Rattus norvegicus: one gene and its partners. The protein of the gene in region 1 purifies or fractionates together with the protein of each later gene. This does not show direct contact. Links are inferred from orthologs where the notes say so. Each region holds a gene or a part of one and is shown in the gene's direction. Other genes may lie near its edges.

The links.
Region 2: the proteins of Chaf1b (region 1) and Cbx5 purify together in Homo sapiens (affinity purification with mass spectrometry; 8 studies listed by BioGRID and IntAct, with this or other methods). This does not show direct contact. The link is inferred for Rattus norvegicus from reciprocal best matches to the Homo sapiens genes CHAF1B and CBX5.
Region 3: the proteins of Chaf1b (region 1) and Cbx1 purify together in Homo sapiens (affinity purification with mass spectrometry; 4 studies listed by BioGRID and IntAct, with this or other methods). This does not show direct contact. The link is inferred for Rattus norvegicus from reciprocal best matches to the Homo sapiens genes CHAF1B and CBX1.

What each region holds. Positions count from the first base shown.
Region 1 is NC_086029.1:46,672,803-46,677,924, forward strand, and holds part of Chaf1b (chromatin assembly factor 1 subunit B), read left to right. Parts: intron 1-1,001; coding exon 1,002-1,119; intron 1,120-1,947; coding exon 1,948-2,051; intron 2,052-5,122. UniProt on the Homo sapiens protein: Acts as a component of the histone chaperone complex chromatin assembly factor 1 (CAF-1), which assembles histone octamers onto DNA during replication and repair.
Region 2 is NC_086025.1:136,211,209-136,216,330, reverse strand, and holds the end of Cbx5 (chromobox protein homolog 5), read left to right. Parts: intron 1-3,012; coding exon 3,013-3,113; coding exon of another isoform or gene 3,114-3,117; exon of another isoform or gene 3,118-3,119; intron 3,120-4,135; coding exon 4,136-4,286; 3' UTR 4,287-4,683; downstream 4,684-5,122. UniProt on the Homo sapiens protein: Component of heterochromatin that recognizes and binds histone H3 tails methylated at 'Lys-9' (H3K9me), leading to epigenetic repression. In contrast, it is excluded from chromatin when 'Tyr-41' of histone H3 is phosphorylated (H3Y41ph).
Region 3 is NC_086028.1:82,264,383-82,270,196, forward strand, and holds the start of Cbx1 (chromobox protein homolog 1), read left to right. Parts: upstream 1-2,379; 5' UTR 2,380-2,600; exon of another isoform or gene 2,601-5,814. UniProt on the Homo sapiens protein: Component of heterochromatin. Recognizes and binds histone H3 tails methylated at 'Lys-9', leading to epigenetic repression. Interaction with lamin B receptor (LBR) can contribute to the association of the heterochromatin with the inner nuclear membrane.

The sequences.
Region 1 (5,122 bases):
ATCTTAGTTTTTGTTTGAAAAAAGAGGAATAGTTGTGTTCTGTGCCCTAATGCCCAGAATATGTGGGGTGTGAGTGTCTGTGTGCATGCATTGTACATTGTACACAGACATGATGTGCATGCATTCACACATTCACACAAGTAGAACAGTGTTGCCGGGGCTGTAGACCGTCTCCTATGAGGTGGCCCTGGGGCAGTTCCCATTTACAAAGCCCCTCAGCCTTGCAGACCGAAACCTCCCTTTAGTCTGCTCATGGAGAGTGTTGACCTGTCCAGCCATTTCATCTCTAGCAGGCTCCCTGACGAGCTTCTATAGCTAGGATTCCAGGTAGCTTTGAGTGAGCTCCTTTTGTCGTCTGTAGTTCCTGTCTGTATTTCCTGCTCTCTCGTTTGCTCTCTTTTCTGGACATGGTAAAAGGATCATGTTACAGTGAGCCTGTAGTCACCTCAGGAGAAACCGTTAGGTCTGGACCATTGCTGTGTCAGGCTGAGGTGTCTGATGTGTCCGTACTGATACGGTGAAGGAGTGTGTGGCTTACATGTCCAAGCCGCCGAGCTACAAGTGCTGTCCACAGATTCCTACACTCAGTCCTCACAGGGGCACTGTGAGGTGGGTATGCATCAAGATGAGGCCCACAGGCACAATCTGCAGACCGGCACTGCCTTTCCTCTTCCTGATCTGCCATCTTTAAGTTGTTTCTCTAGTTTCTTAATGTAGAGGTTCAAACTTTTTGTGTTTTCCTGAGGTGGGGTCTCATGTAGCCCAGGCTAACCTCAAACTCGCCATGTAGCCTTGCTTTGGATCCACCTACCCCAGTCTCCCAGGGGCTGGGTTACAGGCATGTATCACTGTGCACAGCCTGTCCATATTCTTGGCAGTGAGTGACTCCGCAGGCCAGACCGTCCACCGAGCCACATAAAACATACAGGACACCATAAAACTCCAGAAGTGAAGGAGGGCACGGGAGAGCCTGGCTCATGCTGTGCTGATTTACCTCACAGATGCCGTCATCCTGCTGTGGAAGATGAATGACAGCAAGGAGCCGGAGCAGATCGCCTTTCAGGATGAAGATGAGGCTCAGCTGAACAAGGAGAACTGGACTGTGGTAAAAACCCTGAGGTAACGGGGGAGGGGCTGCCCCTGCAGTTTGTTTTCTAATTAAAGGTCTATTTTGGTTATTCTAACTTATGATTGTTTGGCTTGTGAGTGAAGTGCGTTGTGTGTGAGTAACCGAAGAGGTCAGAAGAGGTAAGCGAATCCCTCGGAGCTGGAATCACAGGGGTTCTGTGGAGCCCGCCTTGGGGCGGAGAGCACAGCTTGACTTCAGATTAGCAGCAAGTGTGATTAAGTCCCACTTCACAGTCTGAATACCTTAATAGTTTATGTACCTAACGTAAAGCCTTTGCCTACTTTATAAGAGAATAAAGGATTAGAACAAGATAAAAATACATTTTTCTCTCCGTTATGAAGTTTCCCTTGGGGAAAAAGAATCCGGTCTTCCCCGACCTGGTTTTTGAGCCAGCCTAGTCTAGCTATGAAGCCCAGGCTGGTCTTGAACACTCTACCCTATTCCCTTGGCTTCCTAGTGCTTGGAATATCAGTGTGGGCCCGTGATGCCCTCTGATTCACATTCAATACAGATGTCCTTGAAAACAAATGTTTAGAGCCAGGCCTGACACAGCTCCACTGAAAATCCCTACAGTCTAATTCCAGTGTGTGGTTTTAGACTTTGAACTTTTTTCCCCCAGTTTTTCGAGACAGGGTTTCTGTGCGTAGCCTTGGCTGTCCTGGAACTCACTCTGTAGACTAGGCTGGCCTTGAACTCAGAGATCCTTCTCTCTCTGCCTCCATAGGGCATGCACCACCACTGCCCAGTGACTTTGAACTTTTTGATAGCTTTTCTCTTTTTGCAGTAATAATGTTATTCCTTCTGTCTTTGGACTCTAGGGGCCACTTAGAAGATGTGTATGATATATGCTGGGCAACTGATGGGAATATGATGGCCTCTGCTTCTGTGGATAACACAGTTATCATATGGGATGTCAGTAAAGGTGAGCCATATACTTACTTTATTAACATTATGTGTATATGTACACACACATGCATGCAGTGCCCATGGAATCCAGAACAGGTTGCCTGAGCCCCTGGACCTGAGTGACAGGTGGCTGTAAGGCTCCCTCCCAACCTGGGTACTAGGAACCACCAAGCTTGGGTCCTCTGTGAGAGCAGGTAGAGCTCTGACCTGCTGAGCTCCAGACCGAGTGGTTTATTTCTGCTGTTATGAGGAGGAAGAAGATGCCAGAGTTAGGGATGCTGAGTCGGGAGCAGTTTTGGCAGAGGCAGAAATCCAGACACTGCCCAGACCTTCATTATTTCATTCTGCCAGTGTCAGCCAAGTGACGAGTCCTGCCCTTGTCCCCTTCTGTCTTCCAAAGGCTTTACTTGAGAAACTCAGGTCCCAGTTCCTGTTTCCTGGTCTATTAGCCTGTGTCTCGGTTACTCTTCTGTTGCTGTGATAAGCCACGGTGACCAAGGGAACTTGTAAAAGGAAGGATGAAGTGGTTGGAATATGCTTGGCCCACAGGAAGTAGCACTTTAGGAGGCGTGGCCTTGGAGGAAGTGTGTCACCGTGGGGGTGGGCTCTGAGGTCCTATGCTCAAGTTCTGCCCAGTGCAGAAAAGGCTCTCCTCCTGGCTGCCTGCAGAAGACAGAATCCTCCTGGCTGCCTTTGGGTCAAGATGTAGAACTCTCAGCTCCTTCTCCTGTACCAAGTCTGCCTGGACGCTGCCGTGCTTCCCTCCATGATGATAATGGACTGAACCTCTGAACTGTGAGCCAACCCCTGTCCTTTATAAGGGTTGCCGTGGTCATGGTGTCTGTTCAGAGCAGTAAAACTAAGGCAGAAGTTGGTACCAGGGGCTGAGGTACTGTTGTGACGGGCCTGAGCATGCTTTTCTATGGGAGAATGTGGACTCTGGGCCTTTGGATTTGGAAGCAGTGGGATGTTTTAGGTGGGTCCTAATGCACTATCCTAGTAGGATCGTGAAAGACATTGGTGCTGAGCGCGATTTGACTATGGGGTCCTGGCTCTAGCTGTTTCAGAAGAGAAGAATTTTAGTTTGTGCCTGGAGACTGCTCTGATATTTTGGTGAAGGATGTGGCTGCTTTTTGCCCTTGTTCAAAGAGTCTAGCTGAGGCCAAGGTGAAGAGATTCATCAGATTAATTGCACTGACAGAAGTCTTAGATCAACTAAGTTTAGACTCTGTCCTACGGTTCACTCTTAGAAGGAATGATTTGATAAAGTGTAGCAAGATTAGAAAGCAGGATACGGAAGGTCAAAGAGTAAAGGGACACCAGGAAGTCGAATGGAGCCTGAGAATAGGACCCCAAAGCCCACCCCCACGGTGACACACTTCCTGCAACAAAGCCATGCCTCCTAATAGTGCCACTTCCTGTGGGCCATGCATATTCAAGCCACAGGGTGCTTAATTTGGTGCTCAAAGTTTTAGAGGATTAGAGTCCATGAACATCATGGTGGTGGTTGGTGGGGGTAAGGTGTTAAACAGGCAGGCACAGTGCTAGAACAGTGCCCGAGAGCTCACCACTTGTTCCACAACCCTGAGGCAGGGAGGGAAAGCACTCTAACTGGCAATGGCAAGTGGCCTGAGCTTTCAAAAACCTCAGAACCGGGGCTGGGGATTTAGCTCAGTGGTAGAGCGCTTACCTAGGAAGCGCAAGGCCCTGGGTTCGGTCCCCAGCTCCGGGAAAAAAAAAAAAAAAGAACCAAAAAAAAAAACCCTCAGAACCCACCCCTGGGGACCCCCCTCCAATAGGCCACACCCCCTCATCCTTCTCAAACAGTTTCACCAACAGGGACTAAGCACTCAAGTTATGGGAGCTACCATGCTCCCAATCGCTAGCATATTGTTTATGTCTAGCTTGCCTCTCTGTATGATTCCGAGCCCTCTCTGACCTCATTCTTCCTCTTACCTTTGAGGATAACCCCCTGCCTGAGATCTGGATTGTTTTCCACCTTTAAGTTTCTCAGCCCTGGCCTCACAGATACTTCTCAAACTCTCGTGATTGTGGGGGGCGGGGGAGGGATCCTTCCTCAGGTCCCGCCCTTGAATGGTTAGTTTACATAGGACGTGTGTAGGCCCCCTTGAGCTTGCCTTTCAATCCAACCTTCCTTAACCCCAGCCAACTTCCTGGAAAGTCTGTCAAGTTGAGAGATGCCCTGAGGTTGGGGAGGGAGAACAGCACATTAGAATTAGATAGAAGCATGTCCCCTGGTGCTGTGGGTCCCCTGTGCTGTGAGTTAGCAGTACTGGCGGGTAGTGGGCTTGGACTTAGCAGTGGCAATGGGGTGGGTGAGGAAGGGAAGGAGGGTGAAAGAATTGAGAAAATGAAGAAGAGGGTCTTCTCTCATGGACTGAGCCTGGGGTCTTGGGCTTGTTCTTTTGTTTGCTTTCAAATGGTTAAGGCCTTTGAATGGTGACTTAAATTACTGAATATTGCTTTGTTTGAGTGAAGTGTGCTGGTCTGAGTGGCCTGTGAATTTCGGGGCTGGTCAGTAGTTCTGTATGGTCTAGAAGCCGCCCCATGAGCAAAACAGGCATGAAGTTAAGTGAATAGCATTTCAAGTTGATGGTTGTTGCATAAAGTCTGCACTTGGAGGTGAATTCAGGTCTGAGTCCTTGTTGGTGCTGTGTCCATATCCAACTGTGATGAGCCTATGTGTGCCAAGCTGATGGATGGGGGCGCTTTGTGCTGAACACCAACCTCATTAAGATGGGGGATGAGGGAGACCAGGCGTGAGCGGGCCTCTGGAACACGAGAGAGAAGTCTTCCTCCTTGGAAGTGGCCGGGTGTGGTTACACAGTGCCGAGGAATCAAAGCAAAGAATCCCAGACCAAAGGTTGCTGAAGAATAATTCAAATGCAGGAGCAAGCAATTACGGCCAGACATAGAGTCCATGCCGGTAGTCCGTGCACCTGGGGTCCAGGAGAATTCTGGGAGTTTGAGTCCTAACTGATCTACATGGTGAGTTAGTTCCAAGCCAGCCTGGACTGTAGAGTGAATTCTAGGCTAACCTGGGCTACAAGATGAGATGTGTGTATG
Region 2 (5,122 bases), on another chromosome or scaffold:
TGCTGTGCTAGGGATTGAACTCAGGACTTGTTGCATATTAGAAAGAGAACTCTGCCAACTGAACTAAGGAGCCCAGCCTCTCTGTTGTTTGGAGCCAGAGGTCATGCTTTATAACCGACTTGTCTGACCCTGAACTCACAATGTATTTCTGGCTAGCCTGGAACTTCCACTTCTGCCATCGGCTCCTGAACGGTGGGATTTTAGGCATGTGCCTAAATAGCACCATACCTGGCTACTTTCACTAATTTTATTCTAGCTGTATAACCTAAAAAGAAAATAATTTTCATCTTTTGTGTGTTTATTCTTTAGTTTGGAAAGTAATTATGAAGTTTGGTTTGATTCAGTTGCTTTTACCTGATTTTTAGATTGAGGGTGTATAAACACCACATTGTCCCTTTTTTTTCTGTCTCATCTTTGCCAAATGTATATGTTACACAAACATTCTACATCTCCAGCTTTCCCTCTTGCCATTTATTTCAGGGTTATGAAACCTATGTGCTTAATATTTAATAAAATACAAGTATTAGTTCATATAGCATCCCTGTTTATCTATGCTAAAGTTAGATGCCCATTTTTGTACACTTTTCTCAAAACTGTGACTATGCCTCTAGTAACCAAGGTGAACCTCACATCAGTTAAATGAGAGTTTCTGTGGGTAAACTGAAGCATTGGGGTTTTATAAAGGTTGTGTGTAATTCTTGGCCTCTATGGGGGCTGTCCCTGACCTCTTTCTCTTGTTATTTTAATTTTACAACTTCTTTGTTTGTTTGTTTGTTTGTTTGTTTACTAAGACAAGGTCTCTGTGTAGTAATGGCTGCCCTGGAGCTGGCTATGTAGACCTGGCTGATGTCTGATTCACAGAGATTCTCTTGCATCTGCCTTTTGAGCACTGGGATTAAAGGCCAGGGCCAGCACCGGCTGCAACCTATGCCATATTCTGACTATAATAAACTGTATTGATGAGGAACTTAAGGGAAGAATACTTTTCATTTTCTGAGGACTTGTTTTTTGTTTTGGGGTTTGTTTGTTTGTATGAGATGGGGTCTCAAACAATGCATGAACCTTGGCTGGCCTGAAACTCACTGTGTAGACCTTGCTGGTCTCACTCTGTCTGTGCCCTTTTTAAATTTCATTTATATATTTTAGTACATTTTATTATTTCGCATGTGTTAAGCATGTGTGGACTGCACATGGGTGGATGGTAGAGAACAACTTGAAAAAGACAGTAGCCTTCTTCTACCAGGTTGGTCTTGGAATTGAAGTTGGAACTTTGGGCTTGGTGGTATCACCTTTTTTTAACCCTTTGTGTTCTGACTTTTGTCATTTGGTTCATTTCTAGTTAAAGTAGCAAATAATAATCAAAGACTTTTAACTATGTATTGTGAAAGATAGTAAACATTTCTTCAACTTAAGGTCTTGTTCTTTTAAAGGCAGTAATCTGGCTTTGATTTGAGTCCCCGGCCACTTCAGAGGGCTTCGTGTCTAGGTTCTGGAGCTGCTGACCTTGAAAACAACCTCCAGACACCCTTTACATCATAATGTTTGTCTGGGGCCTTTGATAGCATTCTCAGCAATACTGGCTGCTGTCAGGTAGACAGCTGGCATGATCATAGTAGTTGTGTGTTTTCAAGGTATGGGGAGATTGCCTTTTTTTAGACCACTGCAGAAGAAATTTCTTAGTCGGTTTTATGCCTGATTTAAGATTACTACCTGTGATGATTTTAGTGTTTTCCTTGCCTCAGCTCCTTTCAGCAGCTTGAACATTCTTTTTCTATTTCCCTCCCTATGTAGCAGACTCTTTCCAGCTGCCAGAGATGATGTATGACTTAGTCACTGTGCCAGCATTCCAGCTGTGAGCAGCTGTGTTTGCATCTGGGAACCAATTCCCCTTAAATGCCCCAAAGAGGTTGTGTCTTAAAGAGCCAGTGTCTTCCCACTGATCCTTGGCTACGATTTCCTTCCTTTTGGGGTTCTGGTATCTTTGAGGACCACCAGGACCGTGCAGACTTTTGTGTATCTATTTCAGAATCATTTGTTTGTGTGTTTTGTATTTGCTCATTGTTTTGAGGGGTATGGGTCAGGGAATATGTGGGAGTTGATACTCCCTGTGCACCCTGTGAGTCCTAGGGATCGAACTCAGGTTGTTGGGCTTGGCTACAAGCCTTTTTGCCCACTGAGCTGTCTAACTGGCCTGCTTTTGTAGCTCAAAGGCAAGTCATGATCAGAGAGGGTTGGGATTTGGTTCCTATGGTAAATCTTAAGTTTTCTTTGTGATGAGTGAGCTTGTATTATCTCTTGTAAATTTTAGAAAAAAATATGTATAAAATTAGACTTTTTTGTTCTGACTGTTGTCATCACACCTGGATCAGCCAGAGACTAAAGCAGGCCTTGTGCTCCTCTCATGAGGTCAGTTCAGTTGTTTGCAGTCTCAGACCAGTCCCAATTAATGTGAGTAGCGAGTCTGAGCAGGCCAGAGGCTCCTTTCTCAGGTTATATGCAAGTTAGTGTTGGTGATCTTTGAACCTCTGTTTTACAATATAAATGACTGTGAAATATTAAAACTGTTGGCCACTGTTAAGATAAATTAAAAGTCTAAAAGGCTATTGTCGAGAAAGCATCTGAAGTTGAGAGTGAAAGTGAGCTTGTTTGCTGTCTGAGAAGTCACAGTAGAGGGAGGGTCTGCTCGCAGTGCTGAAGAGATTGAGTAGCTTAGAGGGGTGGAGTACCCAGGTGATTCTCCTGAGACTCCTGGGGTGCTAAAGACTTGTGGGGGGTCCCCCCTTAATCATTTACAAGGAATACCAGGGAAGATGACTACATCTATTGCAAAAATATCTCATAACATTGCTGCCTCTGATTTCTTGAGTTGCAAGGATTTTCTGAACTGATGACAAATGATAACAGATGATATTAACAAAGGCTATGATTTGTAGCTCAGAAAAACAGGTGTTTTGTTTTGTTTTGTTTTTCCTTGATCTCTGCAAGCTCCAATCTCTCCTATTCTATTTATAGCAAAGCAATGATATCGCTCGGGGCTTTGAGAGAGGACTGGAACCAGAAAAGATCATTGGGGCGACAGATTCCTGTGGAGACTTAATGTTCTTAATGAAATGGTAAGAGGAATTGTGCTTCACAGTTGTGTTTTTGCTATGAAGAAAGAGTGTGAAATTGAGAATTCCTAAATTTAATCCATAGTGTCAGTATTAAGTGGGAATTTATGGTTCAGAATAAATTTGTGACATTCTCAAACTTTGGTATTGTTGTGTTATAGTAATCATATTTGGATTAAAAAAAAGTATTACTACTACCTAAATTCTGTATAGAACTGAATCATTTACCGTGAGATCATTAGCCTATGACTATGGGGTAAGAGCTAAGTAAAACTTCCTACATCATTGAGGATCAGGGTCACCAAATGATGTCTAAAAGAGAAATTAATTTCAACAAAAGACATCAAACTGAATGCTAAATAAAGAAATAAAGCACAAATTACTTTATTAGAGAAAGTGACTTACAGAAGAAAGTGGAATACTTCCCCATCCTCCCTTCCTCCTTTCTTGACAAGGTCTCATGTAGCTCAAGGTGTCCTTGAACTTACTATGTAGTGCAGGACATTGAACTCATTCTCCTGTCCCCATCTCCCTAGGCCTGGAGTTACAGAGTTATAGGCATGTACTCACATATCTGACTGGCCTTTTCCTTTCTTCTCTTTCCTTTCCTCCCTTTCCTTTTTCTTTTAAGATTTATTGCCTATTTAATTTTTTTTCTACGTGTATGTGTTTTGCCTCCATATATATATGTTGTGTGTGTGTACCATGTGTGCAGCGCCTGCAGAGGCTAGAAGAGGGTGTTGGATCCCCTGGAACTGGCATTACAGGCAGTCCTGTGGTACCATGTAGGTGCTAGGAACTGAGCCCAGGTCCTCTGCAAGAACAGCCATTTCTTCAGCTCTTTATTTTTTGTTTATTTTTTGATGCTAAAGGTCAAATACAGAGACTCCACCTCTGAGCTATATCTCCAGCCCTGTAAAGAGCCTTTTCTACTTCGATATCAAACCAGCTAACCTCAGGCATTGACACTGACAGACTGTCTCAGTCTCATGTCTCCTTCTAAGTCTTGTACCCTTTCTTTCCAGGAAAGACACAGATGAAGCTGACCTGGTCCTTGCAAAAGAAGCTAATGTGAAATGTCCACAAATTGTGATAGCATTTTATGAAGAGAGACTGACGTGGCATGCGTATCCAGAGGATGCGGAAAACAAAGAAAAAGAAAGCGCAAAGAGCTAAAGGAGGAGGCAGTCTCTGTCATTTCTCTTTGTATATAATACCTTCACCTTCCTGCCTCCTCTCGCTTCTCCCGTCCCTTTCCATCCTAAACATATCCATAAAAATGATGTGCTTATCAATCACTGTGCTCCACGGGAGAGATGTTGGTATTGGTTCCCTTGTAATATAACTGATGGTCTGACTCCTAAGTGTAGCTCTGTGAAAGTCAGGCATTACATCCTTCACATGCTGTGTGGTTCCCATAGTGTTCTCTTTCATCCTGATCTTTTCCTTCTGTTCCCTGTAACTTTTAATCACCTTAGAGTCGTGATCTTTGGGGTTGGTTGCTTTGGGGAATTTTATTATAATGACGATGACTTCAGTTTCTTGGTTGTTAATTAGAATATATTGATGACCAGCTGGCCTTTGTTTTGACATACTGGCATAGAAAGGATGTTGTCCAGCTTTTAGAAAGCTAATAGCAGCAGCCTACATGTTGTGTATTTTTTAATCTCACTTAGCTCTGCCAGGAGAATACAGGGTCCCTGGTGTGGTCTTCTGGGCCACTCCTGACTATTCTCACCTACCCTCCCATAACAACTCAGTTCTCTTGAGGGCTTGAGACTTTACACTGTTTAGCCCTCACACTCTTTTGGCTTCGTTACTTTCAATCCCTGATTCTGCTTCTGTAAAGTGTATCAGTTTGTTATTAAATGACAGGATTAACTGTGGGGTCTGTAAGCTGTAGTGCAGGACGATAACAGGACGGGGCTGGATGCGGTTGTCTTTGGTATCACATGGTGTGCATGTGTTCTTTCCTTCACCCTCATTCCTAGACTCTATTTATGTAGGTGTAG
Region 3 (5,814 bases), on another chromosome or scaffold:
GAAACCCAGTGTTCAAACCCTGAGACAAATGGTTGAGACTGTTAACTCAGCAGTTAGGGAGCTGAAGCACCGTGCAGAGTTCACGGCCAAGGATTTTATGTAGAAGACCCCGACTTAAAAATAATCAAAAAAGGGGTTGGGGATTTAGCTCAGTGGTCGAGTGCTCGCCTAGCAAGCGCAAGGCCCTGGGTTCGGTCCCCAGCTCCGAAAAAAAAGAAAAAGAAAAAAAAATCAAAAAAGTAACTTAGCCGGGCATGGTAGCGCACCCCTCTAATCCCAGCACTTGGGAAGCAGAGGCAGCTGGATCTCTGGAGTTCAAGGCCAGCCTGGTCTCCAGATTGAGTTTCAAGACAGCCAGAAAGCTGTCAAGACAGAGAAAGCCTGTCTGTAGGGAAAGGGGCTGCTTTACCTGGGCTGGAGAAGCTGAGGGTAGGTTCCTAGCTTCACAGGGTTTGCTTGTTACATACAAGGGTCCAGATTCAAGAATAAGAAGGTGAAAAAAAAAGAAACCAGGATTCCTGGCAGTGGAATAGGACCTCAATAATAATGTCTTGAGCTTGAAGAATAGCTCAGTAGTAAAGAGTTGTGTGCCTGAGTGTATGTGTGCGTAGCTGAGATCTGAAGGAGTTGGGTTCTCTGGAACTGGAGTTACAGGAGGTTGTGAACCACATGGGTGCTGGAAACAGAACTTTGATCTGAGCAGCAAGAGCCTTAACTTTTAAACCACCTCTCCAGGACTATAAAGTGCCCTTATCATATACAAGGCACTGGATTTGATGCCCAACACCAATACAAGATAGAACAAAACTAAGTTTTTTTTAAAGATTTATTTATTTATTATATATGAGTACATTATAGCTGTCTTCAGACACACACCGGAAGAGGGCATCAGATCCCATTACGGATGGTTGTGAGTAACCATGTGGTTGCTGGGAATTGAACTCAGGACCTCTGGAAGAGCAGTCAGTGCTCTTAACCACTGAGCCATCTCTCCAGCCCCTAGTATTGTCACTATTAAAGTTATCCAGAATGCATGGGTTGCCGCCTGGTTTTGGAGGCTTGACCCAAGTATTTTCAGGAAGAATCAGACTCTTTTGACTGATTTTTGTATGATATTGTGAAGCTAATCTCTCTTTTTCTTTTGTCTTAAGTTTTTTGAACAGGAAAGTTGTCCTTGTTTTGGTTTTTTGAGACATGCTCTCATTCTATAACCTAGGCTGGCCTGGTACTCCTTACATAGCCTAAGCCTCTCTTAAACTCACAACAATCCTCCTGCCTTAATCCTGAGTACTAGTACAAGAGGTCTTGGAAAATTTGATCAGTTCTATTATCTGTTGGACATCTCATATATTCACTTAAACCGACTATCAATGAATTTTTACCAATAAATACTGAGAGTCAAAGCATGACCGTATGCATGCTAGCAATAAGCACAGGACTTTACTGAGTGTGGCGGATACAATGAGTCTTCTGTCCTTACTGGAGTTCCCAGCCCAACAATTAGCAGCAGCAACCTACCTGAATCACAACTAGTGCACTTGTTAAAGAATGACAGTCGTGCCTTTTGCTTAGTTCTGTTTCTCTAGTTTGATAAAGTTTGTTCATGGAGATGAAGAAATCACCATGAAAGTCGCCCACTGGCAAGGACAACAAAGGGAAAGTTTTGCATGTGGTGGCACATGTCTGTAATCTCCGCATTTGGGAAGTGGAAGCAGGAAGATCAGGCGTTTAAGTGCTTCCTTGAGACCCTGTCCACTCAACAAAAACAACTAAAGTGAAACAAGAAAAAAGGAGGGGGAGAGAAAAAAAGAAAATTAAGAAAGTGGCGATGGTGTCTACCTAGAGGTTTAACTTTCTGAACGGAATACTGATTCAAACTGTGAGGTAGGAACCTCTTCTAGGTGGCAATAATAGATAAGCTTGCTGGACATTATTGAAGGTGGAGATTTGATAAATCTCAGGTAACGAATATGATAAGATTTTTCTTTTAAGTGCAGAGTGACCAAACATCAACGTGTTAGTTTCCAAACCCCCGTGTCCTAATTTTGTAGACTGAGCAAGGAGTACTAGCATGCCCCTGAAATCCAGCACTCTGAGGTTTGAAGCAATTGAAAGGCCACAACTTCCGAAGCCAGCTGGGCTACGTACCCTGTTATTAAACAAACAAACCCCACCATTACCCAGTAATTTTCTAGGCTGTAGAGTTATGTGTTCAAAACAGTCGACTTCGCCTTTCCAGAAAGTTAAAAAAAAGAAACTACAAAGAAAACTCTACAACTCCTGAAAGTGGAGGTGGGCGGCGCGGGATTCGCGGCACTCTGGGATTTGTAGTTTCGGGCCGACTCTGAATCCCAAGTTGCCCTGCGGCGGGTCGTCGCGTCTGCGCAGTGCAGGCGGCGGGCCGCGCAGAGTGAGAATCTCTTTTGTTCGGCTGAGGGGAGGGCCGTTGGCCGGGCCTGCGGTACGCCGCTTCATCTGGACGACCGACTTGAGGCCACACGGCTGTTTGCTCCTCTGGGTGCTACTCCCTGGGACCGCCTGACGCAACGCGCAAGAAGCGCGACACCGATTCCTCTCGGACTGTCGGGCGCTGCTACGAGGTGAAGAGGCGGGCTGGAAGCGGGAGGGGGAGCGACGGCGGGAGGCCGCGGGCGAGCGCGGGCCGCTAACGGAAGAGTGGAGACAGGAGCTGGGGACGCGGCCCAGCGCCCGACCGGTCGGTTTCCCGCGCAGAGCTCGCGGTCTGCGGGAGCGTGGAGAGGGCGGGGCAGTGAATCCAGAGTCCGGGCGCGGAGTGGTTCCTGAGGAGCGGAGCCATCGGAGGGTTAGCTTTTCAAGAACTAGACGAGGAGCGTTTGACCCGGCTCAGCAACTCTGGAGTTGGGCGGGAGAAGGAAGAAAACTTTGGGACGTCCATAAGGAGACAGGCTTGGTACTTTGGGTGTGCGTGGCAAGGATCACGACTTCGTACACTAAAGGTTTAGAAGTGTAACCTGAGAGAGTGGACACGGTGGCAATCGCGGGCAATCCCCTTAGCACTTGGAGGAAAGAAAAAGAAACCTGAGGATATTGGGTTCAATTGCCACTATCAGAGAAATTTCTCTTGCCAGAGTTATGAAAAAGTAATTTCCAGTAAAATTGGACGTGGGCTGCTCCGGGTGTGCTAACGGGGAAGAGATTTGTTGAACCTGTCTTGGGGTGAAGGGTCAGACATTTTCTTGACCTTGTCTAAAAGTGGAGTTGCTGGGGTAAGTAGGGTAGAAGTCTAACGTGTCCATGTCAAATGTGGAAGAAAAAAGGGGTACTTGGGGGTGTGTAGCTTAGTTGGTAGAATGTTTGCCTACCCTGCCGCAAACCCCTGGATTCAATCCCCAGTATCCCATAAATTAGGCTGGGTGTGATGGCCTGTACCTGTAATCTTAGCACTTGGGAGCTGGAAACCGGTGGATCGGAAATTTAAGGCCTTCCTTGGCTACCAGAGGAGTCAAGGGTGAAAAGGCCACTTTCTGCCTTTAATAGGTCTTTATTGTGAGTAGGGAGGCTGTATGAGGCAAGACTCATCAGATAAAAAAGGTTCTTGCTGTGTAAGCCTCAATTTAACTCTTAGGATCCAGGTAAAGGTGGAAAGAAAGAGTTGACTTCACAAAATTGTCCTCTGATTGACAAGTGGGGTATGGCAGGGACCAAAGAAAGCAGGTCCTGCATGCCCACAGGCATCGAAAATAGTTTTATACTGAAACACAGTATATGAAATATGGAACTCGGGGCTGGGGATTTAGCTCAGTGGTAGAGCGCTTACCTAGGAAGCGCAAGGCCCTGGGTTCGGTCCCCAGCTCCGAAAAAAAAAGAACCAAAAAAAAAAAAAAAAAAAAGAAAGAAAGAAATATGGAACTCATTTCGGTATTTGGTACTGAGGACCTTGCACACATGCAAGTTGTCTACCACTGAGTTATGTTTCAGTGCCATAAAAAGTCTTAAAAATTATATACTAGTTATATATATTATATACTAGTTACACTAGAATATAGTGTCCTCTCCAGTTTTGTGTTAATCAAAAGATCTAAGGTTTTCTGATAGATGTATGACTATAATCAGGATATTGGTGCCTGTGCTCTTCCTTGGATGCTCTCTAGGCATATATGGGAGGTGGTGTGTTGAAAAGAGCCCAGTTATCTGTGAGTACAGCCAGCATTTGGGGGGTAGAGGCAGGAGCAGCAGAAGTTCAAGGCCTAGGGAAAAGAGTCATATGTTCCTTAAAAGATTTGGGCAGTGAAAGCATTTCTAATTTTCTATCTAGTCACTTTTTTTTATTTTTTTTTTATTTTATGTATATGAGTACACTGTCCCTGTCTTCAGACACACCAGCAGAGAGCATCAGATCTCATTACAGATGGTTGTGAGCCTCTATATGGTTGCTGGGAATTGAACTCAGGACCTCTGGGAGAACTCTTAATTGCTGAGCCATCTCTTCAGCTTCCCTTAGTTTTGAAAAGTGGGGGCGGGTGTTCCATGACATACTTATGGAGATCAGGAACAACTTTGGGGGTGGGGGTCATTCTCTTCTGTAACACTTGTTCTAGTGATTGAACTCAGGTCATTAGGGTTGTGGGACCTTTACCTGTTGAATCAGCCTGATACCCCCATTTTCCAACTTTGAGGACTGGACCTAGAAGTTGGTATGTTTGGATTTTATCATCTTTTTTTTTTTTTTAAATTCATTATATATAAGTACACTGTAGCTGAAGAGGGCATCAGATCTCATAACAGATGGTTGTGAGCCACCATGTGGTTGCTGGGATTTGAATTCAGGACCTCTGAAAGAGCAGTCAGTGCTTTTTTTTTTTTTTTTTTTTTTTTTTTGCTTTTTTTCCGGATCTGGGGACCAAACCCAGGGCCTTGCACTTCCTAGGTAAGCGCTCTACCACTGAGCTAAATCCCCAGCCCCGCAGTCAGTGCTCTTAACCACTGAGCCATCTCTCTCTACAGCCCCTGAACTGAGATAGGTGTGCGCCATCATACCTAGCTGACAGTTTCAATTTTTTTAAGATTTATTTGTTACATATTAATTACACTGTCTATGTCCTCAGACACACCAGAAAAGGGCATCAGATCTCATTACAGATGGTTGTGAGCCACCATGTGGTTGCTGGGATTTGAACTCAGGACCTCTGGAAGGGTAGTCAGTGCTCTTAGCCGCTGAGCCATTTCTCCAGCCCCGACAGTTTCATTTTTAATGTGTATGTGTTTTTACTTTTTGCAGTGTTGGCGTGGAATTCAGGGCCTCTTACATGTTAGGCAAACACTGAGCTGCATTCCAGTTTGGCAAGCTTTCTGCTGATGAGCTACACTCCTAGCCCAAATTTGGGAAAGTGTGTTGTGCTGGTTTGGGGGTTTTTTGTTTTTGGTTTTTTTTTTCTGTGGTGGTAGTACACTGGATTGGACCCCAAAACCCATGTGCTATGCCACTGAGCTGTACTCTGGCCTTCTTAATGTCTTTTGTGTAAAGTGGTGTAAAATAAAGTTTTGTGTATAATTTCACAGGTGGGTATGTGGCATGTGTCTATAATATGTCACTGAAGGAGAGACAGTAGAGGCTATTGCCTGGAGTTTGAAGACAGTCTAGTTTATATAAGGTATAATAAAATCCATGCTACCCTGGACCAGAGAGTGAGACCTGGGCTGAAGAATTTAAAAAAAAAAAAAAAAAAAAAAAAAGGCTAGACCTTTGAGATGACTTGATGAATAAAGGCACTTCCCACCAAGTCTGACAACCTGTTTGGTCCCAAGACTGACATAGTGACTGGAGGGAATTGA